Neurospora crassa OR74A: one gene and its partners. The protein of the gene in region 5 purifies or fractionates together with the protein of the main gene of each other region. This does not show direct contact. Links are inferred from orthologs where the notes say so. Each region holds a gene or a part of one and is shown on either strand. Other genes may lie near its edges. The genes, in order: NCU02675, NCU01249, NCU04273, NCU07011, NCU02256, NCU03808 and NCU07041.

Evidence for each region.
Region 1: the proteins of NCU02256 (region 5) and NCU02675 purify together in Saccharomyces cerevisiae (affinity purification with mass spectrometry; 3 studies listed by BioGRID). This does not show direct contact. The link is inferred for Neurospora crassa OR74A from reciprocal best matches to the Saccharomyces cerevisiae genes RRP6 and RCL1.
Region 2: the proteins of NCU02256 (region 5) and NCU01249 purify together in Saccharomyces cerevisiae (affinity purification with mass spectrometry; 8 studies listed by BioGRID, with this or other methods). This does not show direct contact. The link is inferred for Neurospora crassa OR74A from reciprocal best matches to the Saccharomyces cerevisiae genes RRP6 and SRP1.
Region 3: the proteins of NCU02256 (region 5) and NCU04273 purify together in Saccharomyces cerevisiae (affinity purification with mass spectrometry; 3 studies listed by BioGRID). This does not show direct contact. The link is inferred for Neurospora crassa OR74A from reciprocal best matches to the Saccharomyces cerevisiae genes RRP6 and NOP13.
Region 4: the proteins of NCU02256 (region 5) and NCU07011 purify together in Saccharomyces cerevisiae (affinity purification with mass spectrometry; 3 studies listed by BioGRID). This does not show direct contact. The link is inferred for Neurospora crassa OR74A from reciprocal best matches to the Saccharomyces cerevisiae genes RRP6 and UTP21.
Region 6: the proteins of NCU02256 (region 5) and NCU03808 purify together in Saccharomyces cerevisiae (affinity purification with mass spectrometry; 3 studies listed by BioGRID). This does not show direct contact. The link is inferred for Neurospora crassa OR74A from reciprocal best matches to the Saccharomyces cerevisiae genes RRP6 and ECM16.
Region 7: the proteins of NCU02256 (region 5) and NCU07041 purify together in Saccharomyces cerevisiae (affinity purification with mass spectrometry; 3 studies listed by BioGRID). This does not show direct contact. The link is inferred for Neurospora crassa OR74A from reciprocal best matches to the Saccharomyces cerevisiae genes RRP6 and KRR1.

What each region holds. Positions count from the first base shown.
Region 1 is NC_026501.1:3,164,225-3,168,000, reverse strand, and holds NCU02675 (RNA-3'-phosphate cyclase), read right to left. Parts: upstream 2,286-3,776; 5' UTR 2,086-2,285; coding exon 865-2,085; 3' UTR 770-864; downstream 1-769. Other genes in the region: NCU02676 (hypothetical protein), read left to right, coding at 1-737; NCU02674 (hypothetical protein), read left to right, coding at 2,688-3,776. UniProt on the Saccharomyces cerevisiae protein: Does not have cyclase activity. Plays a role in 40S-ribosomal-subunit biogenesis in the early pre-rRNA processing steps at sites A0, A1 and A2 that are required for proper maturation of the 18S RNA. RCL1 activates BMS1 by promoting GDP/GTP exchange.
Region 2 is NC_026505.1:3,366,299-3,370,560, reverse strand, and holds the start of NCU01249 (importin alpha subunit), read right to left. Parts: upstream 2,801-4,262; 5' UTR 2,455-2,800; coding exon 2,221-2,454; intron 1,957-2,220; coding exon 1,447-1,956; intron 1,396-1,446; coding exon 493-1,395; 3' UTR 1-492. Other genes in the region: NCU01248 (hypothetical protein), read left to right, coding at 3,778-4,262. UniProt on the Saccharomyces cerevisiae protein: Functions in nuclear protein import as an adapter protein for importin beta nuclear receptors. Binds specifically and directly to substrates containing either a simple or bipartite NLS motif. Promotes docking of import substrates to the nuclear envelope.
Region 3 is NC_026505.1:5,456,895-5,460,907, forward strand, and holds NCU04273 (RNA-binding protein), read right to left. Parts: upstream 2,597-4,013; 5' UTR 2,413-2,596; coding exon 946-2,412; 3' UTR 728-945; downstream 1-727. Other genes in the region: NCU04272 (ZZ type zinc finger domain-containing protein, variant), read left to right, coding at 1-76.
Region 4 is NC_026504.1:4,898,108-4,902,680, reverse strand, and holds the start of NCU07011 (WD repeat containing protein 36), read right to left. Parts: upstream 2,871-4,573; 5' UTR 2,807-2,870; coding exon 2,669-2,806; intron 2,607-2,668; coding exon 1-2,606. UniProt on the Saccharomyces cerevisiae protein: Involved in nucleolar processing of pre-18S ribosomal RNA and ribosome assembly.
Region 5 is NC_026507.1:3,162,755-3,167,244, forward strand, and holds the start of NCU02256 (exosome complex exonuclease Rrp6), read right to left. Parts: upstream 2,958-4,490; 5' UTR 2,825-2,957; coding exon 2,247-2,824; intron 2,188-2,246; coding exon 1,854-2,187; intron 1,799-1,853; coding exon 242-1,798; 3' UTR 1-241. Other genes in the region: NCU17251 (hypothetical protein), read left to right, coding at 3,507-3,547, 3,600-3,637, 3,699-3,775, 3,844-3,937, 3,993-3,994. UniProt on the Saccharomyces cerevisiae protein: Nuclear-specific catalytic component of the RNA exosome complex which has 3'->5' exoribonuclease activity and participates in a multitude of cellular RNA processing and degradation events.
Region 6 is NC_026505.1:2,474,226-2,478,589, reverse strand, and holds the start of NCU03808 (pre-mRNA-splicing factor ATP-dependent RNA helicase PRP16), read right to left. Parts: upstream 3,026-4,364; 5' UTR 2,957-3,025; coding exon 1-2,956. Other genes in the region: NCU03807 (hypothetical protein), read left to right, coding at 3,430-3,582, 3,644-3,934. UniProt on the Saccharomyces cerevisiae protein: Probable ATP-binding RNA helicase. Required for 18S rRNA synthesis. May play a role in restructuring of the pre-rRNA.
Region 7 is NC_026504.1:4,998,459-5,002,407, reverse strand, and holds NCU07041 (90S preribosome/SSU processome component KRR1), read right to left. Parts: upstream 2,489-3,949; 5' UTR 2,310-2,488; coding exon 2,055-2,309; intron 1,997-2,054; coding exon 1,647-1,996; intron 1,580-1,646; coding exon 1,222-1,579; 3' UTR 715-1,221; downstream 1-714. Other genes in the region: NCU07042 (alcohol dehydrogenase), read right to left, coding at 1-377, 509-567. UniProt on the Saccharomyces cerevisiae protein: Required for 40S ribosome biogenesis. Involved in nucleolar processing of pre-18S ribosomal RNA and ribosome assembly. Essential for vegetative growth.

The DNA of each region.
Region 1 (3,776 bases), on a different chromosome or scaffold from region 5:
CCGTCCTTCTACCGGCCGAACGTCCCCATGTCTTTGCCATCCTCGGACCGAATTTGATATGCATCCTTGCACACATCATCTCTGCACCACCAGTCGCCGGCGAAGCGACGCGCGGGTATCTACACGGGGGCGTGATAGTCGACTTCGTTGGGCAGAAGCCACCAACGACGAGGCTAGGTCCTTTGTTCTTCGATGCGGTGATACTGGCTATCCAGTGCTTGATGTTGGCTATCCATACGGAGCGGGAGAAGCTGCGCAAGGTTGTGAATCCCTCCTTACAACCTCTCTGGGCTGGTCCCGGTCAGGTTGGACAGCAGACGGGGGCATCAGGTAGCGACGGCGTGCGCCAGCCGGAGACTTCCCAGACTTTGGATGCGGAAGAACGGGGCGTGAATAGGGAAGATGAGATGGCTCTAGGCGATGGAGAAGGGACCGAAACAGACCGCCTGGTGGCAGAAAGCCGTGGCGGTCAGGGGCAGGATGATGAACAGCGGCTGGGGTCCAACTATTCTCCAGCATCTGCCGGCATAGACTTGTTTGACGTGATGAGGTCAGGCAATGCCAGTGTGGGTAGCTTTCATCCGGTACACGCCATACGTACGGTAGGGAATGACTACCAGACGGCTGCGGCTTACACGGTCCAAAGCATTGGTTTCCATGCGGCCGCCGTTGCTGGCAACCGGGGAGTTAGAGGAATTGCTGGGATTACGAATAGAGCGGCCAGACGGGGGATATGATGGAAAAGCATTTGTACACACTAATACTTAGTGCCGAGACCCACGAAAGCGAATTTGATACAGCAAAAGTATGACCTAACAGAGCTTGAACATGCAACAAAAAAGAAAGCATCCGGTTTATAATTCTTTACGCTACCTTCCTTCCCACATTACCAACGCCCGTACCCTTGACCGAGACTACTAGATCAGTCGTCTCACCGTCATCGTCGACATCCCTTATGCCCCAGCTGGCCGCTCCGAATTTCTTCAAGTCTCGTGCTAGCCCTATTGTCTCCTCCCTAGCCAATACTTCCCTGCCTAACCTGAGGCGACCCACATCCTCCGATCCCATTGCCATCAGTGTAAGCAAGGTCGGTGCCGATACGTTACTGACGCAACCTCCCTGTGCGATAACCTCCAGCAGCTGGTACGCGCACCTTGCGCCTATATCCTCGGGCACGACACCACCCTCGGGCGGCGCTACCACATCAGCCGAGTAAAGCACGCCGTCCGCGCTCGACTCCGCCACCAAGCTGAGGCCAAAACCGATACCGATCTTCTTCTTGGCACCACTCTTGTCGCCGACCAGCGGCGCCGGGTCGTACTGCGCGGCCACGTGCACGTCCGAGACCAGCTGGTTGAGCACGCCGCGCGCCGCCGTGATCATGCGGTTGTTGTGGCTGGCCGACACGCCCGTGCAATACGCCACGCCGCGAATCCGCCGTATCCTGCCGGGGCGCCGATTCAGATGCAGTGTCTTGGGCAGGCGAACCTGACTGGCGAAGCGAAGCTCGACCACGCCGCCACCGCCACGGCCGCCGGGGCCGGAACAAGAGCGCGAGAGCACGCGCAGCTCGATGCGCGCTGGCGGGATGCCGAACATTCCATACAACGGGAGCACGGCCGTGCGAAAGGAGTCAACCGAAATGTCGCCGGTCAGGTGGGTGGCCGAGGTGATGACGCCGGGGCCAGTGAAGCGGACGTTCATGTGGGCTTTGGAGAAGGGCGCGAGTAGGGCAAGCGGGAGGAGGAAGTAGGTGATGCCGCGCGTGTTGTTGGCGGGCAGGGTGTGCTCGACTACGTCGCCAACGGCGCCGGCGTTGACGCCCGCGACCGTGCCGGTGATCAAACCGGGCTGGTATGTAATGGTGGTGCCCGAATACGAGACATCGATGACGGAGCCGTTGGTGATGGCCTCGATAAGGCGCAGGAAGGAGACTTCGTGGGGCGCAAGACCTGGATGTGTGGCCGAGCTGCTGCGGATCTTGGAAATGTGCACTGGGCGGCCGGTAAGGGTCGAGAGAACGATCCGGTGCGTGAAGGCGCGGTGCCCCGTAAAGCGAATGAAGTCGGTTTTCTCGCCCGACATGGTGGCGGTTGTCAGGTCGTTGGTTTCACGCTGTCCTGGGCTCAGTCGTGTGAAAGTGTAATTTCCTAGTCTTTTGAATTCTTCGTAGGCGATCGCGCCCCAACTCGTCGGGCAGTGGTCGTCGGTGATGGATGAATGGGTATGTCGCGGTTTTAATGGCGAATGATTCTGAATTGGAAAGCTCCTTTGCGAGCGCTGCAGGTCTCCCCGTTCCAATTCGCTTTTCTCCAGAATTTTTGGAGGATCCCGCTGTTTCTGCCGGGCGGTGAAATGGTACCTAAGACTTATTCGACAGGAGCTGCGCGTCGATAAGGAACTGCAGGGGCGTGATAAGAAAAAGTCACAGCGGCAGCAAGCGCATGGTGGGGCGATGATGGCCGCTGTTCCTTCCAGGACGTGCTGCTGTAGGACAAAGTGTTGCCGGCTTCTCGCCATCACGAAAAGTTGACGAACACACCTTCAAGTTCCAGTTCACCACAATCCTTCTACCTCCGCAGTTCTACCTGGCTTCCACATCTCCAACTCTTTCATTGCTCCTCATGATTTTCTTCATTCTTTACAGCACACTGCCATAGCCCACCCGACACACGAAACAACCACCGATGCCTCCCCGAGCATTTGCGCTTGAATTGAGTCGAACAAGCAGCTATGTTTGCCAGTCATGCATCGCTAGCATAGGACGAGCCCGCCCAAATCCACAGCCATGGCTGACGAGAAACGCTTCGAGTGCGGCCCGCGCCGCTCGCAGACAACGTGCGCCAACGACGACTAAGCAGCTGGAGGAAGAGCAAGCACAGAGGTTCCAAGAAGCCCTCCTACGGGAGGCGCAGAAGGGAGAACCCACCGACACCGACGAAGGTCCAACCGAACCCCTTGCGGTCAACTACTTCAACGAAGAGACCGAAGGGCAATACCGACAGCTGCGCGACGGTGCCGAGTTTGGCGCCGTTAGTGGCGGCATCGATAGCGAGATTTCCGAGGCCATTAACGACTTGGAGCAGAAAATGGTCCAGACAATACAAATGCTCGATAGCCTGGAGAAGGTCGGGGGTTCCGAACAGGACAAGGCTGAGGAGCTACGAAAACAGTTCAAAAAGATTCTCAGGGAGAAATACAAGGGCAAGACGGGTCCAGAAGGCGAGTCATACGGCGTACTGCGCATTCCAGGCTTCAGCGGAGTGCGGCAGCGAGCCGTAGCCAACTTGAACTCCTTCCTTGCGCGCGACAGCGTCGTCAAGGGCGGCGTCCCCAAGCCGAAAGACCTGTTCGACTGCTGGAAGTACTACTCTGCAGCACGCAGTTCATTAGCCACCCAATGGACCAACGTGCCGCGCGAGGTGTGGGATTTTCTGTGGATGATTTTGTCACACGAAGGGGAAGGCGTAGAAAATCCGAACCGGATGCATCACATCTACGTTTTGGCGAAGGACATGCAAGCTGCGGGGGTGGTGCTGAGAGACTCGCAACAGCTTCTTGCGATTGAGGCCATGTTTCTCGAAGGCTGGCAAGAGGAGGCTATCGAAGCGTGGAAGAAAGCCGTGGTCACCATCGGCTCCAAACCAGAAACATTCAAAGGGTACTATGAGCTGGGAGTACGCATGTGCAGTCTCCACGGAGATACCGACCGCGCGATGAGAGCTGCGGATACTCTTCTCAAGTCCTCAGAATCGCCTAACCCGCGCATCATGATA
Region 2 (4,262 bases), on a different chromosome or scaffold from region 5:
CATCGGCCCCGAGGCTCCCGCTCCCTTCTCCTTGGCTTGATCACTGCGCGTCCGAACATGGCTATAGGGTTGGAGCTTTCAAGCTACCATTCAGACCCTTTGATTTACTCTCCCTTCATCATAAAACGCATCATCGTGTCCTCATCAGGTTCGAGCTTTCGCACCAAAGGACCAATCGGCCTCCATGTGCGTCTACTTATCCTCGCCTTTCTCTTTTAAACATAACTTTGATAACGCCAATTCAAGGGGTATGGTGTGGTGAATAAGCGTGAGGGGGCACTATGAGATTGAAGCAATATAGTTCTGCCGTGTTGTGACTTGTGTTTGGGCGAATGAACTCGTATGGGGGAGCCGAAAGGCTGATGGGGTAAGATGTTTATGGTAGGATTTCCCAGATGGTGCCGTGATCAACATCACATCTGGGTCCCCTCATCCCAATCTTTAACCCAACCATCCCCTTCGTAAAAAGAACTAGACGGATTGTACAGCATTTTACATGTCCATCGACTCGGTGCCGTTAGCACCGAAGTTGAAGCCACCCTGCTGGGCACCACCGGAAGCACCGAATCCAAACTGCTGCTGAGCGCCCATGGCCTCATCACCGGCCTCGTCCTCGTCGGAGAAGTACTTTTCAATGATGTTGTACGCCTTCATGTAGATCTCCTCGTTGGCGTTCGTCTGGCAGTCGTGAATCTTCTCCATTCCTCCGCATTCCTCGATAAATAGGGCATAACGGTTGATCGAGTCAGGGCCATCGCCAGCGGCGTTCTTGTCGAGCTCGCCAACCTTGAGAATATTCTCAAGACCATCCAGGGCAACCTGGATAATCTTGTTGTCAGGGCAAGCCAGAAGGTCGCAGAGCGGCTTGATGCAGCCTTGAGCAACCAAGTATCTGATCTGATCGGGCTTCTGGAGACCACCCGAAGTCGCGTTGCTGATAGCCCAGCAGGCCTCCTTACGAGTCTTGAGGTCGGCATGGGAGAGAAGGTGGATCAAAGGAGGGATGATGTTGGCGTCAATGACAGATTGGATCTGAGCCGAGTTTCCAGCAGTAATGTTGCTGATGGTCCAGCAAGCCTCCTTGCGGATGCCATCCTTGTTGGAGCTCAGAAGCGACAGGAGGCAGGGAAGGGCACCGCAGTTAATGATAACCTGGGTCTGAACATCGTCTCCCGTCACAATGTTGCCAACGGATCGAAGCGCGGGCGTCTGGACAGAGGTGGAAGCATGCATGAGGAGCTCAACAAGACGCCTGGGAATGCCAGCCTCAATAACCGCCTGGATTTTGTCGTTGGATCCATCCGAGAGGTAGGAGATGGCCCAGCAAGCGTCAATAAGAACCTCGTCGTCGAGCGAGTAGACGAGCTTGGCGAGAACTGGCAAAGCAGGGGCGATCTATGATGGATCAGTAGACATACTAGATTGTTCGTGATCGAGAGAACTAACCGTGTTCCAGTCGGGCTGAGGAGTCTTGCCACGGCAGAAGTTACTAAGAGTCCAGGTAGCATTCCTGAGCATGCTAAGTTTGCGGCTATCACCAAGGAGGGTCAACAAAGGACGCAGAGCACCGCAGCTTAGAACGTAATCACGGCATTGAGGGCTATCGCCAGCAATATTGCCGAGAGCCCAAACAGCCTGTTCACGCACATCAGGCTCGGGGCTTCCGAGAAGCTCGACGAAGATGGGAACAGCACCAGCTTCGATGACAACCTGGGTTTGAGTGGCAGAGCCCGAAGCAATGTTGGTAAGGGCCCAAGCGGCCTCGAACTGGACCAGGGTGTGGGGGGAGCGGAGGAACTCGACGAAGCGACCAACGACGCCGGTCTTGATAACCTCCTCAATGGGAGGGTTGCGCTCCTTGCTGAGCAGCTTTCTGAACTTAGTGGTCGCCTGAATTTGCTTATCGATCTCACTGGAGAAGACACCCTCGACCATCTTGGGAAGGTCCTCGCTCAACTATGACAACTGGGTTAGCATGTGGAGATCAACTATAACAAAGATCGGGGACGTGACGGAATGTGGGGTGGTTTTCGTTTGTACAATGTTCGAGTTTGCGCGCGCAGCTTGAATGCAGGTTCGGCACTGCCTGGGGGTTTGTGGCTCAAGCATCACCATCATCGGCGGGGTACACGTGGGGGAGAGAAGGGAGAGGCGATGGACGGACGCAGTAGCAAAATTGTGGCCGATCATGTAAGGGGAGTAAGATAGAGGTTTGCATACCTGAGACTCGGTGGGAGGGTTCTCATCGTCACTGTCGGGGGCGGCACCAAGGGAAGCTCCAGGCCGCGAGTCGCCAGCACCAATACCGCGCCTCTTGGCCAAGTTCTCCTCGCGCTTCGCCTTGCGAATTTCGACCTGCTGTTCCTCACGACGGCGACGAAGCTCATCGGGCTTGAAAGCACTCTTGGCCTTGAACTGGGTGCGACGATGCTCGGGAATGTATCGGTCAGCCATGGTTGCGACGCGATGTCGAGACGACGGTGTCTAGACGGATGGGTGATGGAGGTGTGATATGAAGGCGGCAAACGAGGGGCGATGCAATCGATGAAGCCCCGGCGACGAAGTTGCTGCGAGCCGTTCAAAGGGAGGTATATGCGATCAAGAAAAGCCGGAGAATTGGAAGAGCCCGGTTGATACGGTCCTGCCAAAGCAATCCTGAATGGGACGGAGAAAAGTATGGGTGCGTTGTCGGCGAGACGGAAAACGTCAGAGAAGGATTGGGTTTTGGGGATGGATGGGGCAGGCGAGTTGTGTGTTTTTTGAGGAGCGACGATGAAAGAATTTGGGAGTTCGCCCGCGCCTCGAGCAGAAAGCGGAAACAAGAATGCGGCGGCGGCTTGTCCCCTCCTCTACCAGCACTTTCCACCTCCACGAAAGTGAAGTCCAAGTGCAGGCAGTCACTGTGCCCTGCCTGCCACTCAGTCACAGCTGCCCCTCAGGCCTGAAGGTGGCCCAGTCACTGCCCACAGCGCCCAATGCTGGCACCAACTGTAGCGAAAAGAGTTTGGCTTCTGAAAGTGGGGATGGAAGAGCCAAGCTCGAGCACAGGCCACATGAGCAGCTTTGTAACTTGTCCGCTGTTCTTGGAGTGCAGGAACTTGTCCACCATTGGGTGGCCCCACCTCAGAGCGGCTGGACCCTCCAGGCATTCTTCTCATTCCTTCCATTTTGCTTGTGAACGTCATGGATTGTTTGCAGGTTACACACTGCCCGTCATAACTTCATCGACCTCAGGCCGCGTCCGTCGAGCCGCAAGCTTTTCGTTTCCCTGAATGACTACGACATGTTTCAGTTACTTGAAAGAACGACGTCAAAAGGCCGCTCTCAACCTCCCACCGTCTGAGCTAGGTAGATACGTCTTTGCTACCTCCAGGCTTTAGGTTGTGTTGGGAGGCTGGCCTGCAAGGTCCTGTTCGGGAGTCCCCGACCCCTCATGACTATACTGGGTAGGTAAGAGAAAGCACAGACCATGCGTCTAACCATTACCGTAGCCCTGCAAGGCTTGCTGAAAGCACAGCGCTTCAAGTCTGATGGTCTGGCCCGACGGGCGGCCAAGACCCTTGCCCTGCACATGCGGTCGCGCAAACTTGGCGATTGGGCAGGTGCCATTTCCGCTTTCAAGACGCGTAAAGTGAACGCGTAATGTACGACGTATAACACTGAAGTCCCCAAGTTGCCCTACAACGGTTGGTAAGTATCACGACCAACCGCTGGTGGTGTTTCATCCACATACTCATCCGCCGCCATGTAATCGGAACGGAGAGTTGGGATATCCAGATGATGCGCCCGCTCAGAGACAGGAAACCGGCGGCCAAGGCAAAGCCACCACTTTTTCCGTCAACGCTCACACCCCTACGAGCCATTCTCGACGATGACGGTGATGCCCAGCCCGGGTCCATGGTCAATGTCATTGGTGTTCTTAAGGACTGCCGAGCACCCGTCGCGACACACGGATCGGACTGGAAGTGCACCCTGACCATATCTGACCTGTCCATTGAAGATGAATCGGCCGGAGTTGAGCTCGTCATCTTCCGCCCCGAGGCACGGATGCCCGAAGTCGGCGCCGGAGACGTGCTTGTTGTTCTAAGCGCAAAAGTTCAGAGGTTCAAGTCCAACCCAAAGTCTCTCATCACCAGCAAGATCACCACCGTTTGCGTTTACAAGGCAGCGACAATACCCGTCTATCCCGCTTCAGCACAGGTAGCACTCTTGCCCCCAAAGCAAGGTGAAAGCCACAAGCTGTTGAAGGAGGAACACCACCA
Region 3 (4,013 bases), on a different chromosome or scaffold from region 5:
GTCCTACATGACTGATGAGGAGTATGACATCCTTGACGCCTCGGATGAAGAGTCTGTTAGCGGCCCCAACAAGTAGTTTTGCTTTGCGAACATTGTATGTTGGGATCAGGAATTGTGACGAGAAACATGGATAACGGAGTGCTTGGACGGAATGTTTTGTTGGGTTGCTCGGGTCAATTGATGGGTGCTTTAAATTGCTAGTTTTTTTTTTGCTTTTGTCAACGTAAGCTCGTTGTTATGGAAATTTCCCCTCTCCTACTACTGTCTTCTGTTTAGTCTGTGCTTCATGTGATAAGTCCCAAAGAACAAGTGTCTAGAGAGAAATCAAGGGATTACCATAGTCGACGGCTCTGGCGTGAAGTGTACTCGGTGTCGTTGCTTTACACTACACTGCTGCGCATTGATCTCTTCTTCGGATGAAACTGGCAATTCACCACTTTATAATCTAGAGTAGACCTCACTTCTCTTGTAACTCGTTACGGCCACTCAGATTGTGCTCAATAGCTAGATTGTGTTAAAACAGATGTTCCGTCATGAAATTCTTGGTCCTTTTCGATCGCCGGCCGTAAACAACACGACCGTGCATACATATGGAGGCATGGATGTATTTTGAGTAATCTCCTTGGAGCGTCATGTTTTGCAGAGAGATGAAAGACTGTGTTAGCAAACCAGCAAGACAGAACGTAGAACACACTTGCGATCGTCACGATGTGCATATAGGTATGAGGTGAAGCGCAAATTCGATTCCTCTAGCCGTCTAAGCCCACACAACATGGAAACAAGATAGGTATATAAGACACAACCTTAAAACAAGACAACATTAAGTTACCACCGGACACACTGAACCGTGGCGACATGATTTTGAACCCATATTTTTTCTCTCTCTTCCGCCGAACCCAAGAAAAAAAAAAGCCCGGACCAGATAGACAGGACACTCGTCCTATTTTACTCAAAGGTAGTCTTCTTGCCCTGGTGAGCAACAGGCGCACCAGTAAGTCTGGCAACACTGATATCCTGAGCCATCTTGATTTGACCATTACCGCCTTCTTCCCTCTTCTTGTAAGGAACCCTCTGTGGCCTCTCACCACCGTCTTGTCCTTGCTTCTTGCCGCCCGCAGCGCCCTTGCCTCGGAACCGCTTGTCGTATCTCGTCTTGTCGTCCTCGGCCAACTCGATCTTGAGGGTGCGGCCATGTAGCTGGTTGACCCACCACTTGCGGGTCTTTATCCTCTTTTCCGTTTCCTTCTTTTCCTTTGTCTTTTCCGCGTCGGCGTTGTCACCGTCGGCTGCGGCTTCGGCTTCGGCTTTTTGGTCTTCATCCATAAAGTCCTCCAACTCGGGAATCTCCTCGCGGATCTTGACGAACCCCTTGACCGCCCACTGCGCGGCTTCGCCCTCCTCAAAGTTCACCCACCCGTACCCCTTGCACTTGCCGCTGTCCTCGAACGTGGCCACCTTGACCCACCGGATGGCGCCGCACTTGTCAAAGTGGTTGCGCAAGTCGTCCTCGGTGGTGTCGAACGAGAGGTTGCCGACAAAGATCTTGGTTGAGCCGGCGAACTTGCCGCCTACTAGCGCCTCGTCCTTCTTTCCACCAGCAGCGCCCTTGGCATCCTCATCGTCTTCCTTCTTCTTCTCCGGCCGTCCCTCGAACGACGTCGCGTCCTTGATCAACAGCTTGCGCTTGTACCACTCGGTCTCGCTGAGAGCAATGGCGGCGACCTTGGTGGCCAGCGAATCAAAGTCGACGTAGGCGAAACCGCGGTTCTCGGGCTTCTCCTTCTTGGGCTGGCCGGGCTGCGCCTTGGCCGTGGGCATGTGCACGCGCGTGATGGACTCGGGCGTGATGGAGCCGCCGCTGTTGTCGACGAGCCATTGCTTCAGTTCGCTCTTGGTGACGGTGAAGCGCAGGTTGCCGATCCAGACGCCGTGGGGGGACCGTTCCTTCTTTTCCTTCTTCTTTTTCTTGTCCTTGTCGCCGTCCTTTCCGGTGGCGGTTTCGTTATCCGAGTTGTCGTCGGAGTCATCACCCTTGTCGGAGGAGGGCTTGGTAGGGAGGGTCTTGCCCTTCTTGAGCAGACGCTTGGCTTTCTTGGAGGGAGGCTCGGGGGCGGTGACGTCGATTTCGATTTCGGTGAGCTCGGCCTTGCGCTTCTTGGAAGATTTCTTGGGTTTCTCATCGGAGGAGGCGGCGGCGGCATCGGCATCGGCGGTGGTGTCCATGGTGTCGACAGTCTCGGCGGACTCGGCAGGCTCCTCTGTGGCCTTGCGCTTCTTGGAGGATTTATCCTTCTTCTCCTTCTTTTCTTTCTTAGACTTCTTCTCGGAAACGAAATCGGCGGTGGTGTCCATGGCGTCGACGGGAGCGGAGTCCTGCGCGGAGGCGGTTTCGAGGTCTTTTGTTGCTGCCATTCTGGCTGGCTTTAGCGTATCGATCGAGATGGTGTCAATAGGCAAGGGAAGAAAAGTGTTGGAAATAGCAATAAAATCAAGGGTGTTGATTCCTCGAATTTGCAATGTCTACAGAAGGAGGACAGCCGCGCATGGACGCTGAGATTCCCCAATTGCTGGCAGCACAAGATTTTGGAAAATTTACTTTGCGATAAGCGAAGCGATAAGGAAGGGGTCACTGTTCCTCGCTCCAGTTGCGGGTCCGGAGCTTGGCTTGGTCGGGTCTCCATCGCGCAAAATGCGGGGGAGCGGGCGGGACCTACCTTTCAACCTCCACTTTCGGGTTCTCCACTCATACCCCTCTGAATCTCGTGCCAAATTTGCAAAGAGCCGCCATCTTTTCAGATCTCCCGCCGTCATTTCATGATGGGACTTGCCCTTTGCATGATTGCCCCCTTTTTAATGCGATGTCTATGGGCCCTATCTTATAGTGTCAAACGTGTCTTGCTCCGATGACAGGTCTTGAAGTGCAGCCGTACTTGGGTCGGCAAGGTAGGTACGAGACCAGCGTGCAGAATTTCGGTACTCATCAACTGGAGTATGGTACAGTACACGTACTTTTGTACATTGGTCACAAATGGATGGAATATTTCCCCGACAATGACAGCCCACAGCACCACGCAATGGGCCAAATGTAGCCACGAGCACAAGTCGATGATGCCAATATGCTGACTTGGCCCCTCTTCCACTTGATCAATGCCAGGATGTCCCTTGCCATGAATAATAGCTCACGGTGTAGAGTACCTGTAGTAGACACGTCTGCCAAACTCATCTATATTGAGCAGAGTACTTGTTGGGTTCTTGAAAGACGGTTGGACATATTACTTTGCAGGGAGTCTCTTAAGTCCACATAGCAACCCTGAGCTATACAAAGCTGGACAGTCACTTCCGATGGGAAGCAGAAGCCCCATTCAACTCCAGGTCAGTCACTCCCAATGAAAGGGTATCAGATCCTTCGGAAGTTGTTCCAGAGTGATGGCCATTAAAGTCCCGCAGAATCGAAACGGAAACGACATGAGCGTGTTGCTGACGTTGCTCGAATCAACCCCCCGAAGCTTTGATCTGGATCGAGCGAATCGTCAAGGGAGCTGATCGGGTGGGCAGGTGGGCCACGCGGCCTCAATGTCGGTCCATCATCTCGCCAAGCGCAAGGGCCAGGAACAGAGGCAGCGTTGGCAAACGCCTGTCTAAAACACCCACTGCAGGCCGAGAGGATGCGGAAAAGCCAACAATGGGTTTTCCAAGGTCCTTGGTGCTGGCCGTACCGTGGTTGGTAGCGCTGTACACTGCATACCGTTGACGGCCTGTCGCGGTCGCTTCAACAAAGTCTCATCGTTTTGCGTTTGATGACCGGAAAAGTGGAGGTAATTGGTACCCGAAACCATCTTTTTGGGGCCTCACGTGCCGAGAACCACCGATAGGGCTTGGCGAGATCTGGCGGCCTTGAAAAGAAGAAAAAAAAAAGACCGACAAAAGGTCCTCAAAGACTCCACCGGTCCACGTCGTACGTGTACACTACTTTTTTCCTCGGAAATGTCCTCAGAAGGACACAATTCATTGGC
Region 4 (4,573 bases), on a different chromosome or scaffold from region 5:
TCCTCATCCTTCTTTTCGCCCTCCGTCAACAGCAGTGGGTTCGTCGTCCCATCCCGGAGCGAAGGCAAAAAGAAGGGCGCCTTCTCAGGCGCCTTGGGCGGCTCCTTGGGCTTGTTGCGCTGCTTGATCAGGTCAATGTGCAGCAGCGTCTGCCACCTGCTTTTGGGCACCAGACTGAGCGTCACCATGTCGGCGCTGAGCTGATCGAGGACCGGCGCAGACACGCCCTCATCTTCTTCGTCCTCCTGTTCATCCTCAAAGGCCGCCTCGATGAGACCTTGACCGCCCTCGCCTGAGCTGGTAGGTCCGGCCGAGATTTCGGCAATGTCTTTCTCGGATATTTGTCTGGTCGGCACGTGTCTGAACAGCGTTCTGTTGGTCCAGATGTGCACGCCCAGCTCGCCCTCGGTGGCGCCGGCGAGGTATTCGCCCGTGTTGGAAAAGGCGATGGCGGTGCAGGGTTTCTCGAGCCGGAAGGCGTCGATGAGGTGAGCCGTCGGCAGGTCCCAGACGCGGACGACGCGGTCCTGCGAGGCGGCCACGATCCACCGGCCGTCGTTGGAGAAGGTGAAGTCGTTAATGGTGTCGCGGCAGCCCCAGAACTCTCTGATGGTCTGCTTGGTCTCGATGTCGACAACGCGGATCGAATTGTCGTCGCACGCGAAAGCGATGAGATCGTTGCCGGCGTGGTAGCGACAGCCCGTGATCTGCACCATGGGCGCCCAGTCAATCTCGTCGACTAGGTTGCCCGTGACAAAGTCCCAGAACTTGACGGTGCCGTCGAGAGAGCAGGAAATCACGAAGCGGTTTAGCGGGTCGACCACGATGCCGGTTACGGACTTGGTGTGCTTGCCCGAGCCGGGGGCAAAGGAGGTCTTGGAGGAGGCGCGCTTCTCGAGCTGGCTCACCTTGTCGAGAGCCTTAAGTTGCTGCATCTTCAACTGGCGCATCTGGGCGGGAGTGAGTCGGGAGGGGAAGCGTTGCTTGTGACGGCCGGATTGGAGGTTGAACATGTCTAAGCTACCACCAACGGAGCCAACAAGAGCGAAACTGCCGCAAGGGCTGATAGCCACGGTAGAAACATTTTCGCCATCTCCGGTCTTGAACGCCCACCTACCAGCACGCTTGCGGCCCCAGAACCAGGTGCGAGCCCAGGGGTCGTTCTTATGAGCTGTTACTACGCTTTCCCAGCCGGTCATAGCAGCGAGCTCGGACTTGGTCGGCTTGCTCTTGTCATTGCCCTTGTCCCAGATGACCTGCCTACCGGGCATAGCGCCCATGCCGCCATCGCGGTTGAGCGAGGAGGCGATGCATGTGATTTCGGGAGCCTTGAGGTCGTCCAAAGATGTAGTCGGGCCGTGGCCGCCGAGGGCGGTATTAGCAAGAATACCCACCTTCTTGGCCTTTTTGCGAAGAGCACCCTGACTGAGCTCAGAGCTCTGGCCATCGCGGCGCAAACTCCAGCCCCACAGACTCCTGTCCTTGCCACCACTGAGAAGCCACTTGTTGCCGGCCTCGGCGCCATCGAAATCGGTTGGCAAGAATTGCAGGCAGTTGACGGGGGCGGCATGGCCGCTGCGCATGTGAAGGATACGGGGGACGGGCGAGAAGGGCGATTCGTCGAAGATCCAGGACTTGAGCGAGTTGTCCAAACCACTGGTCATGATAACGGGCTGTCCTGGGAGGAACTCAACCTTGCTGATGCCTCCGCGCACAGTCTTGTCGGTGTGTGATGGGGGATTATGGGCGCTCCGGAGTACACCCATCACTCTGCCGCCCTTGTTGAGATCCCAGAATGTGACATCTCCACCAATGCTTGTGGCGGTAGCCATGACGCCATCTTTTGTACCATCTTGACCAGCACCCTGACCGTCGGTTCGGAAGGAGATGCTTGTAACGGGGGCGTGTTCGGATCCGGCCATCAACTTGAGGGAGGCCTTGTCGGTAAGGACGTTGTGGATGACGAGAGGGCCGTTCGAGTAGGCGATGGCGAGAAGCGAAAGTGCCGGGGTAGGCTCCATACAGGTGACAGATCCAGCGTCGGGAGAGGGCGGAAGGATGGTGTAGATGAGCTTGCCGGTGCTGACGTTCCAGATCTCTACCCAACCGTCCTTGCGACCGACCAAGATCTTGTTGAGGAAGGTAGGCATGTTGACTACGCCACCAGTGAGCTCGTTGTCGCCCTTCTTTGCGGCAACGGAAAAGATGGTCGTGTAGTGTTCGAGGGTGGCCGACTTCCATACTTCGAGGCGGGTTTGGGCGCATGCAACAATCCAGGAACCGAAGATGAGGATCTGCTTGATGGGCTGGTTGAGGTCGGCGGGCAGCTCAAGCTCGGCTACCTTCTTTCCGCGCTGATAAACCCAGATACCTTGGGCCTCGCCATTTTGAGGGTTACCCCAAGCGGCGAATACCTTTTCCTTCCAAGCATATGTGGCGGTAATGTCGGCGGGAGTCTGGGGGCGGGTAACGAAGACGAGATTGAGACCTCTCTTTAGGTCATAGGTCTGGAGGGAGCGGCCGACCGAGGTAGTGATCTGGAAGGTGGTCTTGCCGAGAGGGATGGAGGTAAAGGGGACGCTTGTTGGAGATACCAAGCCTACAGTCTATGAGTGGTGAGTTTGGTGTTAGTTTGAGGACTTCATGCGACCGGCTATTAGGGACGTACTCTGAAGGGAGCAAAGATGGAGGAACCCTTCTTCTTCTTCTGAGGCGCCTTGGACTTGACGACAGAGGCATTGAGCTTCTGCCGCTTGGCGGATGTGATTTCGCGATCGGAATGCGGCATCATGTCGTCGAGTGGCATATGCTGCCAACTACCACGATGTCTGCGAATGCCTTTCAGTTGCAAAGCCTTGTTGAAAGTCGCAGTTTGAAGATTTCGATAATAGTAGCCTTGTCGCGGTGGACCAGAAATTTTCAGCCACAGTTTGGGGTCGGTTGGGGCAGGCAAGTGGGAGCTTCATGTGATTGGTCTGCCTCGCCATGTGGGGTAGCATGAAAGCTGGACGCATGTGGGACCACCGTCTGGCTAGGACCCACAGAGCTTAAATCCAGCACTGTGTATCTGTGTACTGCATAGTAGGAACCTCCTGCGATCCCGGCCGCATTTTGCAGCCTTTCAGTTACCGGGATTACCGTTTCCCATCATCGCAGAAGTCGAGACTGTGTTCCAAACTGCAGTAAACCCCACACCTCCATCTGCCCCGCCAACTGGGCGAAAAAGCTCTTGCTTGTGAAACACAGCACAGCACAGCACAGCACAGCATCACCATCCCCTGTCCGCTTCAGCGTCGAAATGCTAGGTTGCCTGCGGCGTCATCATCCCGTCCATCGAACCCACCTCAGGTCGTCCACCCATAGAGGTACCACGGCATACGGTTCGCAATGACACCCACCTTCAGCGTTCTTCTGGATTTTCTCTGCGGCTATCGCAGTATATCATAGGGCGCCAGCAAGGGTTTAGTTTGGCATGACACCCACCTTCTGGTACCAGTAGTCAACGCGCAATGGGCTCTTTGGTGTCCATCATTGTCGATCACTAGAGAGGTTTTTTTTTTCCTGTGTCTATCCAAGCACGCCAATGACGAAAGAGACTGGACCTCCAGTTATGACGACGAAGTGGCTGTAAATATAACCGAATTAGACAGTCCAACACGGCTCGCTTTAGTCAGGAAAGGCCATCACAGAATTTCGAGAGGGATGGTAAAAAAAAAAGTCGAAAAGACATCAGCCAGAGTTACCTGGGAATTTCTCCATGCAAAATTGCCTGAGAGTTAGTCTAGTTTCCAAAGGTAGCATGAAAAGTGTATTCTAACGACCATTCATTCGGTTGATGGCCATGTAGTACCCGAGAAAGTGCCAGCCTTTCTGCCATGAGCTACCAAAACTCCGGTGTAAGGGAATGAACTAATGGTGGGATCCAGATGCACTTACACGTAGACGTTCAGAATTGGGACTAGTAGGTACTACCGGGTCCGTTTATGGAAATTGCCCACATGCCGCCTTTCCCTCTTGCTTTCTTTCTTTTTTTTTTTTTTTTTTTTTTTTTTTTTTTTTTTTTTTTTTTCCTTTCTCCCTCCCCGCGCAAACAACGCTTGGGCATCATCCCAACTTGGGCTACCTACCTAGCTGTTGTCTCTGCTCGTGTCGCCACAAAGCTATCCACCTTTGTCCAGTTGTGTACCAATGGCTTTCTTGATGATTACATGTTGTTCTTATGAGCTGTGCTTGGATGACAACTGAAACATCCATCTGGAGCTAGAGGGAGGGGGAAAAGGGAAGAAGAAAAGGATCAAAGACAGATTGACATCCCCATCTCCCGTCGTCGAAACACTTGCGGTTATCAATTGCTTAGTTCAGTTGGGACCTTGAAAGCCATTGGGGCCCAATCGCTCTAACCTCTATCTTCTTTCCTTTTTCTTTTATCCTTTATTTGCTTTGAGGAGCTGTCCAGTCTAGTCTAGACATCCACCAAATAAGAAGTGCAGTTCCCCGTTTTCTCCCAATCCAAGCGACGCCCAACATCGAGTCCATTGGGCGGCATCACAATAGTCTAGCCGATCATCACCAC
Region 5 (4,490 bases):
TGGCTCAGCGTTTTGTAGAACAGGATGAAAACTCGACGTCTCTTGGCCGTCATCAGTTATTGCTTGGTATCTATGTCTCTACCATAAGCCATCTCTTTCTCTTCTCCTGTCGCATATACTAAAACGCACCGCGATAATAATAGTCCAAGTAAAAAAAATAAGTGGCATCAATGGCCAACACAGCACTGATCGTTCCATAATCTATCCTATTTGCCCTCCATCTTCCTCATCCGCCGGCTCCTCACTTCTTAAAGGTAGCCGTCCTGCCAGCCGCCTTGGCCGTGTAATGCGCTCTTGCGCCCTTGGGTCCTCCCTGAGACTTGTTTTCATACGGGTTAAACCTCTTATTCGCCTTCTTGACGTCCTCCTGAGTCTTGCGAGCACGCAACACCGACGCAGCCTGAGAGTAATCAAACGGCTGATCTTCCTTCTCCTCGCCCTCCGCCTGCTTAGCGGCAGCAGCAGCTTCTTCCTGCGCCTTCTTCTTTGCTTCCTTCTTGGCGGCCTTCTCTGCCCTTCGCTGGGCCTTGAGAGCTTCCTTGGCCTGCTTCTTCTTCTCCTTGGCCGCTTTCCTGGCTGCCTTTTTGGATTTCTTGGATGACTTGTCGCTTGCCTCTTCCTCCTCCTCCTCTTCTTCCTCGTCGGAGTCGTCACCTTCGGCTTCACCACCGGTTTGCACGTCGGTTTCGGTCTGAGGCGCGGAATCCTCCATTTCGGCATCTGAGGCCTCCTCTTCTTCCTCAGACTCTTCCTCGCGCTTGCGCTTGCCTCCGTTCCTAAGAGTGAATTCCTGGTTGACTATCACCTCTTCCGGCGCCGGCTGGGGCTCTGGCACCGCCTCTTCTGGTTGATCCACCTCCATCTCAGCCGTAGATCCGTCCATGAAGTCGGCCGGATACGGAAGGGTGATTTCCAACACGTCGTCAAGCTTGGCAGTCTTCGCAGCCGTGCCGTCCCAGACTGAGCTCAGAGTGACGCCGCCCCAAAATTGTGACCGGTCAGCTTTGAGCTCCTTGACGTCCGGAATGTCGCTATCGTCGGCGATGACCGCAGCAATCTTGGCGGGGGCGAGGATAGATGACTCGCTCTTGAAGATATCCATCATCTTGGGACCGTTCACACCTTCCTCCCTAGCCTTTTGAATGACGTCGAATAGATCATCCAAATGAGACTTGAGGCCCTTGGCGTTGCTATCCAGAATACTCCACAGAGCCTTCTTGTCGGTCGGGAGTATCCGGGCAATGTCGGCCAGAACCTGCTGTGTCATAAAGAAGAAGGGACTCTCGTCCTCACGACGAGCCAAGTTGTCACGCCATTGATGTACGGCCTTGTAGACGGCAAACTGCTCGCCGTTGTAGAGCGTTGGGGACTTCAACAGCACATTATACCACCCGCGGGGTCCCTGGCCGGTTTCGACGTTGTAGCTAAGGTTCTCGTATCGTTGCAGGGCGACATCCTTGGACCTCTCGAGGACCTGCTCGAGAAGGTCAGGCTTCGGCTTTCCGGGTGTTGAGCGCTCCACGAGCTCGTTGATGATCATGTCGAAGATGTAGAGCAGGTAGTGGGTATCCGACCGCGCATAGTAAAACATCTCCTCGGGGAGAGGTCTGATGCGCCAGTCCGCAAGCTGATACTTTTTGTCGGCTTCGAACTCGGCAAACTTGCTAAGCAAATAACCCAAGCTCCTTCCAGGGTACCCGAGAACGGCGCAAGCATGATATGTGTCGAAGAGACCTACAACGTAGAGACCAAGATCTCTCTGCAGCCAGATGACATCCATGAAAGCACCGTGAAGAACCTGGGTCAAGTTAGTCGATAATACAGTGAAAGCAGAAGGCCAGGATGTGTCTCACCTTGACAATGTTGGGGTTCGCAAAAACCTCATTCAGAACCTCAAGCTTGTGCCTCCAAGGTTGAAGAGTATCAATGACCCAATCCTTCTCTCTGGTACTGATCTGCATGAGAGACAACAGTCCGGTGTAAGACCTAAAATCGTGGTGCTCCAGATCAAGCGCAATTTCCTTGGCCTGCTTGAGCTCCTCCAACATCTCCAAGACGCCCTCATAAGTATCAACCCAGATGGCGGATGTCGAATCGATAGGAAGGTACTCCTTGGGTTCGCGCTTCTTGTACACATGCTCAGGGTACGGTGTCGTCTTGATCTCGGTTTCGTAGGGGTGTTTGTATCTGGGAGATTCATGTTAGCGACATGCTCTTATGATATTGGAAAGAAAGGTTAGACGTACTGTGTGTTGTTGTCATCATCGACAAAGGTGGTCAGGCTGTCTTCCAGTGACACCTTGGCATGAGGCTTGGACGACAACAGAGGCTTCCAAGGACCGGTAGCGAAGTTATCGACCTTCTTCTCGAAGTTATTCTGTGGTTTGAGAATGTTGGCTCTCTTCAAGGACCAGTCAAGACGATCGTTAGACGACTTGACGCGTTTTTGGGCGCGGCCCTGGTCGGCGGGGGTAGGCGCATCCTTCCGCTTGATCAATCCGGTGTACTCGTCGAGGCAGGTGTCGGCTTTCTCGAGCAACGAGTCGATCACGTCGACAATGTTCCGCCATTGGATGTCCACGTCGTCGGCATCTTCAAGAGCGCCAACCTTCTGGCCGGTAAGATTCGCGGTCGACTTGAGGAGCCCGTTGGCCAGGGACAGAAGGCGGCCGGAGCTGTTGTCGAGTTGACCACCGACAGTCGGGTTGACGGTGCGCTGGAACTGAAGATCCTCGCTGGCGATTGAGTTGGCGGTTCGGGTCGTAGCGACCAGGGCGGCTTGGAGCGATTCCCTCAAGCTCTTGAAGTCCAGTGAGCCGTCCATATTGGCCGGTGGTTCTGGAGTCGTTGTGGTGTGGACGTCACTGGAAGTGGAAGCCCGGTTCAATTTTCCAAAAATGGTTTGTCGTTCTGCTGCTCTTTGGGAACTTTTTTTGCGGACAGTCCCAGCATGTGGCTTGTGGAGAAAGCGCCAAAGTGAACGGGACCTCGAAAAGTGGAAGCTGCCCGATGGATGCCATCAAGTGGGCCTCGAGTGAGCTGTTCCCGCTCTGCGCTGGTAGAGGTACCTGATGGCCCATGCTGGGAAGTAGAAGCACTAAAGTAGAGAGACTTTGGGCAGCCGATTACATAAGGCCAAGGGGGCGCTTGCCAAGAGCCAAGATTGTGCTGATCTGGACCACCAACGTTCGTTCATCCATCGGCGTCCAGGCTTTTGAGATCCGTCCTGTGACGAAGTGGAAGTCCGCAACCCCATTGTTGAATAGCACCTGGTACTTGTTGGTTTCCAAGCGGACTCACCGGTGAACGTTGATATTTGAGATTCCGTACAACCGTCTTTTCCACCAAAAATATTCACCTGGAGTATCTCACGAACACCCTTCTATACGATCTTTTGCCCAAAACATAGATATACCGTCGATACCCATAAGTCATCGGACACCGTACCAAGCCTATCGTTTTGTTGGCAACACCTACGGTTGAAAACATAGCTCTGGACTTTAAAGATGTCCCAGTCACTCGCCAAGGAATGCAACGAGGCCAAGGAGTAAGTTTTTGTCCTTCATACGGAAAGAAAACAACATCTTAACCAGTTGTAGACGTTACGACACTTGCTTTCTCAAATGGTACAGTGAGAGTAAGTCTACAGGAACAGACACCCCAACTCAGTGGACATGTGTGATACTTATACTGGACAGAATACCTTAGGGGCAATGGTACCGAACAAAATAACGAATGTTCAATTCTCTTCAAGGAGTATAGCTCTTGCCTGCAGGTAGGACGCAAAACCATACAGCGCCCGTACTCTAGCATCGAGATAGCTTACCATATGGCATTTTACAGGTTGCTTTGAAAGAGCGTGGCATCGACAAGCTGCTTGAAGAGGCGCGGGAAGAACTCAAGGACAGCGACTCAACATACATGGGCAAGAAAAAATGTGAGTTTGAGCTTACGAACATGGCCAAAGTTGAAAGGATGACTGACTTGCTCAGAATACCAGAGCTGGACGACGTCTGAGTACCTTACTGTACCACTCGTCGACCAACTCCTTGAACAAAGCCGCAACAATCCAGTTATTCTCCTTACATTGCTCAATTATCTCTTCTCCGTATATATCATATATCGCCTGGTATTCGTGGAAGGACTTTCCATTATGCACACCCTCCATGTCTTGAACAAAGCCCATGTACCAAAAGTGTCACCCGCTGGTCTTTGACTGTACCTTTCTGATTATATCTTCTGTTGAGTTGTTTTCAGTGCTCTCTGTTATGGACGGAAGCCATGGATGACTTCAAGTCGGTTGAATGTTCCCCTTCCAAATAAGGTTTCCCGTCCTTGAGAAGTGGATCCTCCCCAACATCCAATCGGTTCATTACAGAGTGCCGTGCAGTCGCAGCCAGGTCGGGTTGCGCTCGGGGACTCTGGCTTCTGGGCGCTAGAACTTAGAACGCTCCACACTCCCTGTAATACTGCCTAAACTGCTTCGATAA
Region 6 (4,364 bases), on a different chromosome or scaffold from region 5:
CGCGGCGGTCGTCAGCAAGGACGTCTTCGGTAGTGCGGAAAGTGACGGCGCGGGAGTCGTCTTCATCATCGGAACCGCCGGCGTTGCTCTTCTTGGCTTCTTGAACGGCGGCGGCGGGGATGGCTTGGTTCTCGGGAATGTAGATCTCGCCGGCTGAGAGACCGGCTACGAGCGCAACGGTGTAGGGAAGGCAGTCGTGGAGATGTCCGATAAGAAGGATGCGAGCGAAGCGGGGAGAGAGCGGGAAGATGGACATGGTAGATCCGATGGGGGTGACTTGGCCAGTTTGGGAGATGGCGTTGAGGTAGGTCAAAAGCTTCTCGGCCTTGATCAAGCTCTCACGCGGTGGCGGCGTGGGGAAGGGGAAGTTGACGACATGCTGGAGGTTCATGGACTTGAGCTGGAGCACAACGCCCTCGATGGGCATGCGAAGCAACTCGGGCTCTGAAAACTCGGGGAAGTCTCTTTCGTAAACGGCCGAGGAGTAGAGTCTCCAGCAGTGTCCCGGACCGGTACGACCGGCACGACCGGCACGCTGCTTTGCGCTGGCCTTGCTGATCCACCCAATCTCGAAACTCTGGACGCCACTGACAGGATCGAACTTTCTCTCCTTCGACCTTCCAGTGTCGAAAACGTACTTGATGCCGGGAATTGTCAAGGATGTTTCAGCGACGTTGGTAGCCAGGATGACGAGACGGTGGCCCTCTGGGGGCGGCTCAAACACCTTCATCTGCTCTTTCGTGGGGAGCAAAGAGAAGAGAGGTAGGATATGCATCTTCAATGGCCCTGTACCAGATTCTTGGTCCTCAATCTCGAACTCCTTGTCTTCCTCCTCGTCCGACGCAATGGAGATATCGTCATCGTCTCTGTCGTTGATGTTACGGTCATCCTCAACGTCGCCAAAGTCGATGTCTTCGACTTCCATGGGTGCCTCCTTCGCAGAAATCCGCACCTTGGTGGTGCTGGCGGTGTTCATACCGCCACCAAAACGCGCCTTCAACCGCTTGCTGAGCTGGGCAATTTCACCCTGACCGGTCATGAACACAAGCATGCCACCAGGGGGCAGTTTCCTGTGGCCCCTGCAAATCTTGCGGAATGCCTCATCAACGTAGTCGTGGTTTGTCTTTTTGGCAAAATGCATGGTAACAGCATGCTCACGGCCTTCTACCTCAATGATGCGAGGAGTGGTGTGGAACAAGTTAGAGTTTTGGGTGAATTCCTCAACCCTGAGGGTGGCGGACATGATGATCAGCTTGAGAGGCTTGATCGTGGGGTCTTCCTCCGCCAACTCTCTCCTAAGCTTGACCACTCTGCTGAGCATCGCAATCAGGATATCGGTATTGACGCTTCTCTCGTGGGCTTCATCAATGATGATGGCAGAGTACTTGCGAAGAGCAATATCGATGGCCGCCTCACGAAGCAAGACACCATCCGTCATGAACTTGATGGCCGTCTTGGAGTCAACGGTGCCTTCGAATCTGATTTGGTAGGAAACCACATGTGAATAGTCTCCCATTTCTTCGCCAACACGCTTCGACATACTGACAGCAGCGACACGTCTCGGCTGGGTGACACCAATCATGCCAGGAGTAGGTCCATCCGGAACACCGTAACCGGACTCGAAGAGGAACTGGGGAACCTGCGTGGTCTTGCCGGAACCGGTGGCACCGCAAATGATGACAATGTCGTTGTCGTGAATGGCCTCCATAATCTTCTGTTCCTCTGCAACAACCGGTAACCTGAAACGAGTTTCCTGGATCTCGGGTGTCCTGGTAACTACCACGGCGAAAGCCTTGCGGGAATCGTTCTTTGTTGGTTGCAGCTCGATAGGCAGAGGCTCTTGTTCGATCGGCCGAGGCGTAAAGTTGGCAGGTTTCGGTATCTCGAGAATGCTTGATTCAGCAGGCTTGTAACCCAAAGCTTCGTTCCTCGCCTGATGCGCCCAAGCCTTGAAGGCTGAAGACTTTGCTTTCTTGTCCTCCTCGGCGTCCTCCATGTCCTCGTCGGATTCTTCCGCAGAATCATCGTCTTCTGAATCATCTTCGGAACCCTCTCCGTTCTCTTCAGATCCATCCTCTTCTCCCGATTCCTCCTCCTCCTCTTCACTGCCTTCTTCCTCGCTGCCTGAACCACTACCCTCAGACTCTTCATCGTCTGAACCCTCTTCGCCCTCCGAACTGAAACCGTCCCATTCTACCACTTCCGGCACAGGAATGACTGCGGGAGCTTGCGATGATGTAAAGTTGTGCTTCGTTTTCACACCTCCTCTCTTTTGTCTCTTGGCAAGTATTGGGCGTCCTGACTCGTCGACCTCTAAGGGGCGCTTGAGACCAGCACCGACAGGTACTGGCAGGCTTGTTGACGATGTCGTCGCTTGTACTGGTGTAGGCTCGCTTGTTTCCGCTGGCGCGCTCCTTGGCTTCTCGGCTGCCGAGTCCTGCTCATCTTCCGAGCCCTCTGAATCCTCGTCGACCGTGGGTTTAGGCTTTGGTACTGGTGCACCTTCCTTCACCTCTCGCTTTTCGTAAAGTTTCTTGGCCGCCTCCTTCTCTGTTATAAGTCCAGCTTTTGCTTCCTTGACAAGCCGGCTGAGCTCCTCCTTTTTGGTCAATTTTGTTTGGCCTAGTGATTTTGTGCTTGAGAATAGGGAGGTGTCGATCTTGTTGGCGGCAAGCTTGGCCAGGAGTTCGCGGTTCTCGTCCTTCTTGAGCTTTGTGTCGATGTACTTTTCGAGTCTCTTGGCCTTCTTGCTGCTGACCTTGACACCCGCAGGCCTCAATTCCTCCCGTAGCTCGGTCTTCTTCTTTTCGGCATCCGTGGTGGTTTCCTGTCCAGGAGCGATCTCGAGGACGTTGGTGTCTTCGGGGTCTTGTGTTCCCTTACTCCTCGACCGCTGGCGATCAAGCTGCTTGCGCTTGCGCTGACGCGGCACGAACTTCCCGTCTATGACAGCCATGTTGTTGTTTTATCGGGTGTGCTCGAGGCGAGCAGTGACGGCAGAAATGAGGGCCGGTGTCGCGACGGCAGAATGCAACGAACTGAAAGTCACCAAGTACCCTGAAGATTTGAAGATTAAATCTTGTCCGCCTGGCAGAATTTCTGCGCTAAATGTGGCACCCCACGTTTTGGGGGCCTGTGAGGGTCCAGGACAGCAACTGAAGTAACCCAGCTACAGTGCGCGTACAGTTTGCTATGTTTCGTGGGTCCATCCTGAACTCTGCAGCCCAGCCCACTCCGGCTCCATCAACAAACATCACGATGGAGTCCCGCGTCTAAACTCTGAATATGAACGCAGTAGAGACATCAGAGAGTACTATCCGACCAGGAGTACAGAAGCCGAAGTTATCCCCCTACGGTCTTATCCTTTGAAACACACGCGGTTTTTCGAGTCTTGCAACTGTCCATACTTCACCACATCCAGAACTCACCATGTCTGAGGACGCAGTCAGGCAAGAGCCATTCCCGTCACCTTCCAGGCAGGCAACTGGGCTTGTCAACGGAGTGGAAACTGAGGTTTCATCAATGAACTTCTCGGACAAGATCATGGTCACCATTTCTCAAGGTGGGCGCCTTGCTCAGTGGGTAGGTTCAAGAGCGCCCGAACGCCATCCCACTTACAGTCTACTAACATACCATGTTCTAGGTCCAAGTACAACTAGCCGCACCTTCTTCCGCGTCAGTAGACATGGCTCTGCCTGGCGCCGGTAGCCTGTTACCATCAGAACATTTAACAGCAACGACTCTTCTTGGAGGTGGAAATGCGGAGAGGGAGACCATGGGCCAGCTTTATGCCAGTCAAATTGCCAGTCTCCTGACTTTGCGCAACCCCAATGAGCAGCGGTCTTTGTTGCTTGGTTTGGGCCTGGAGAAGGTCGACACCACTACTAGTGACTCCTTCTATGACGTGGTCGAGTTGGTACAACAAGTCCTCTAATAGTAAATGTCATGGAGTGAACGATATCTCGCAGTAACAAGTTCGAGTTGAGGCTATCGCGATGAGCAGTTCTGGTGAAGCGGGGAGTAGAAACCAAATGTGTGGTTATCGGGAATGAGCATGTTCGCAACTCGGTGGATGTGGTCGGCTGAGAAGATGTAAGTGAGGGCTGGTCTGTCTTAAGGCAGGTTCTGGGAAGACAGGGGAACGATGGCTGGGCTGCTGGCCAGTTTAATCCTAGAGATGTAGAACACAGAACAATGGAGGGCAGTGAGCCCGATCTTGCAGCAACACAAAAGATGTGTGTCAAACGAAAAGCGACTCCAGGCAGATCGACAATTTCGAGCAAGGATCCAAACAGGATGATAGGATGATAGGATGATGTTGAAGGCAAGAGGGGCTCAAGTGGACGAGCTGAGGGACAAGGCTT
Region 7 (3,949 bases), on a different chromosome or scaffold from region 5:
GCTCTGGCGCGGGTACTGCCTCCGCCTCGGGAACAACAATGTACTCCTGCCCCGTGCCGGCGTCGGTCAACTGAGATGAGCCAATGACCGTCCAGGGCTGGTTGGGGTCGTCGGGCCCGTCGGGGGAGGAAATCCATCCGCGGCTGGGGGTGATGAGGACGGGTTTGCCGACGAGCTGGGAAGCGGCAGGGGAGACGGAAGGGCCAGTGGACTCGACGACGCCGTAGCCGTCAGCGAGAAAAGGTTGCTCGAAGGAGATGCCGGGGTAGAGGTGTTGGCGGATGAAGAGGTCGCGGTGGTTGAGGGCGCAGGACCGGAGGCGGATGAGAAGCTCGCCGGGGCCGGGGGTTGGTTTGGGGATGGTGTTTAGTTGGAGGCTAGATGGGGAGGCCGAGGGTTAGTCATGCGGGGAGGATGGTGGGAGTGAGTTGGTTGGTGGTGGTGATGGGGATATGTATGGGGGAGAAGAAAGGTGAGGTTATGTGAAGAGGAAGAACAAAACACTTACGGGTAGTAAACCTGGCCGGGTTTACCGTCAATTTTCTTGACAGTGAGTTGGAGAGGCATCTTGGCGTTGTGTTTATGTGTGGGTTGTGTTTTACCGAGGCCAATCCACTGGATGAGTGTTGAAGTATGTTCAAGAAGTGAAAGAAGGAAAGGGTCATCAAGTTTAAATCAGTTGCGACATCGGCCAGATTTGTTATCAATTGGACCCGGGGAAAGGGGTGTTGTCACTCTGTCATTGAGCCTCTCCCACCAACCCTGCCACCGACCAATGGCCGCCCCCACTCTCCCCCGCATTCGTTGCCGGATCCCGCTCCAATGATGCAACTGCCTCGGCCCGCCTTGTGATGCCCCTGGTTTGCGATCCGCCGGGGTGGAGCAGCCCGGTTGTGGTGCGGGTCTGCCACATCGGGCTTTATTCGCGATCGTCATCGGGTTTTGTTTCGGCCTTGGGTTTCGAAATGTCGACAGATTCAAGAACCGACATCTTTTCTGGACAAGTCATTGTTTTTGATAACACATTTGACAAAGGCTTTTGGTGAAATTTAGCAACCAGATCACCCTTGGATCCCGAAGCAGGAGAAATCTCAATCGTCTGCTGAAGTATGGGTATCATGGGATTCCAGGATCCTTTCTCTTTCTCTTCATCATCGTCTTCCTCAACTCCATTTCCACCTCCACCGCCCCCATATTTTGGATTGCACCACTTGTACCAGCTTAGTCGCTCGTCTTCCTCTTCTTGGCCTTCTTGTCCGTCAACTCCTCGGGCGGCACATACTCCTTCTCGCGCTCGCGCTTCTTCTCCTCCTTCTTCTGCTTGGCCTTCTCTGCGCGCTCCTGCTCCGCCACCCGCTGCTTGGCCTCCTTGCCGAGAAAGTATTCGCCGGACTCGATCTGGAGATCCACCTTGCTCTTCTCGGGCGCAGGGGGGAAGGGTGTATAGTTCTTCTTGGTCTTGTCGTTGACGACGTGGGGGACGCGGCGCTTGGAAAGCGTGCGCTTCTTGAAGTTGGGGAGGTAACGAGACCAGTCTTCGTGGGCAAGAGCGGGGTCCTTTGCGAGTTCGCGTTTGATCCTGTTTTCTCATGTCAGTTATTGTTGTTGTGGGGCGTCGCAAGTGGGCGTGCAGGCGCAAAACTTACATCAACTCCTTAATCATGTAAATTGGGTGAACGTTGTTCATGGTGTCCTCAACAACCCTCCTCACCTCCTTCAGACCCTTGAAAGGACCCATTACCGACACTGTGTTTCCGTGCACGAGGATATATGTTTGTGTGAGAAGCTCGAGAGCCTTGAGCGTTGTGCCGTTCTGTCCGAGAATTCTTTGGCGCCTCTTAACAAAACGCTCCTTGTTCCGTACCATGCTGCGGATCTTGATGATGTCGCAGGCCATGCCATCTTCGAGAATTTTGATCGCTTGTGGGGCTGGTACTGAACGGGCGAGCAACTTGATGAGATCGCGGGCGTTAAGAATAGCTGCGGGGTCATATGTCTGGACGTGAGTTAGCAAAGAGTGGTGACTATAAAGACAACAAACGCATCCGCCGTACCTTTCTTGTCGTCTTCACTGTCATGGAACCCTCCACCAAATCGAGAACTGCGGTGATGCCGTGCTTGTCGAGGGCCTTGGTGATGAGTGGCCACGAGTCTCGTAGATAACGCTCGCGGTACTTGGGGAATAGGGTCATAAACGAAGACTCCTCGAGGAAGGGGCCGGAGGATTCGTCCTTGGTGAAAGGGTCGACCTTCCACTTGTCGATGTCGTCTGTATCCCACGGCTTCTCCTTCTTGTGTGTGGACGGCATTTTGGCTGTAAATGTGTTTCTCGGGGCTCTTGTGGGCTGTTGATGTTTATGAATAATCAGAGGTCTCGATTGAGGTTGTGCGACAGGTCACGATATCAGGGCGAGCGACTTGGGTCTGGTGGTTGGATTTGATAAATGGCTTGTTGAAGGGATTGTATGGCAAGATGGCCAGCCGAATCGCGCTGCACGGATGGAAATTTTTGGAACACAAGCCTGCCGCAGCTGGTAAGAGTGGGGGCGCGGCGCTTCTTGCAGGTTGAGTTCCGGCTGCAGAAGCGCGACAGGATCAGCGGCCAGCTGGCAGATGCAGGGGCAGCTCCTTATCTGATAACTGGAACTTCCACTTGCATGGAAGTTGTAACTTTTGGAACCTGGTATTTTCATTGAGGACGACAACAGCATAAAAAAGGAGCAAATATAAGAAAACGACCGGATTCAGTTATTTCAAATCTCAGCGAGGTGGAAGTTTGGTTCTGTCATTACTGTCCTGCTGTACTTCGCAACGAGTCTATCCAAGTACTCTTGGCCATCTGCTCCTTTCAGCTGTTTTTTCCCCCCAGGTTGTAGATGTTATCTTATCTACATACTAGCTTATCATGACAGGGGCTTGCACGGCACGGCACGGAACATCAACAAGAAATCACACGTGCTGGCGACATCAAAAGGTCTTGATATGCCATGGTGGGATTGGCGACAAGAGCGTTTTGACTTGCTGGGGTCTCAACGTGATTTGTATACTCCCAGCAGGGCCATTGTTGACACCTGTACCGTCGGTAAAATCTCACCAAGGTGTTCAAGATACGCTGAAGTAATTGATGGTGAAGCATCGAATCCCGCCCGAGTCAAAGTTGACGAACTTAACAGCAGCAATTTTCAGGTTCGCCGTGATAAAGTCGCGGTAAGGCTGGATAACGTTCGTCGTTGGTTTTCCAGCTGAAGAACCAAGAAATCATCCCAGGTTCGCCCAATGAGAACCTGCAAAGATCTGACGACCCTGGCGCGCTGTGGTCATCATGATCGGGCAAGCACAATCTGCACTGTGGTACGCCACGGATTACAGCATTCCGTGCACGAGGTTTCGAAATCCATCAACGTTTTCCGTCAGAAAGGGGTAGGTTCGGTTTTGTGTCGCCAAGAATCAGAACTCCTTCCGTCCCTGCAACATCTTCCCCTTCTTTTTCTTCTTCGGCCCCGCGACATTCTACACTACTCCCTTCGATTTCCCCTTCGTATCCCTGGCGTCGGTCTTTATCCCGAACCCCAAGACCTTCAGGTATCGCTGCTTCTTGTGACCTTTGCCAAGATCGACGGCAATTGTCGTTGTCTATCCTTGAGAAGAAGAGAAAAGGAAAAGAAACAAATCGAATTCATCATAAGCACAGACGTCATTTCTGGGACGTTGACCTCGACCACCACACACCCGCACCTCCCTCCGCCTGCGCAGTCTCGATCCCGAAGTTGGCAATCCCGGTCACGGGCCCACGGTCTCGCTCGCATCCACCACGAGTGGGTCAATTGGCACCGACGCCGCCTTCAACCGCCGTGAAAGTCAAGCTGGCTTCGACTCGATCTCCGGGCCTTCTTCCCCTTATTCATCCGCAATATCCAACATCATTTACACCACCCACCGAGTTGGAGCT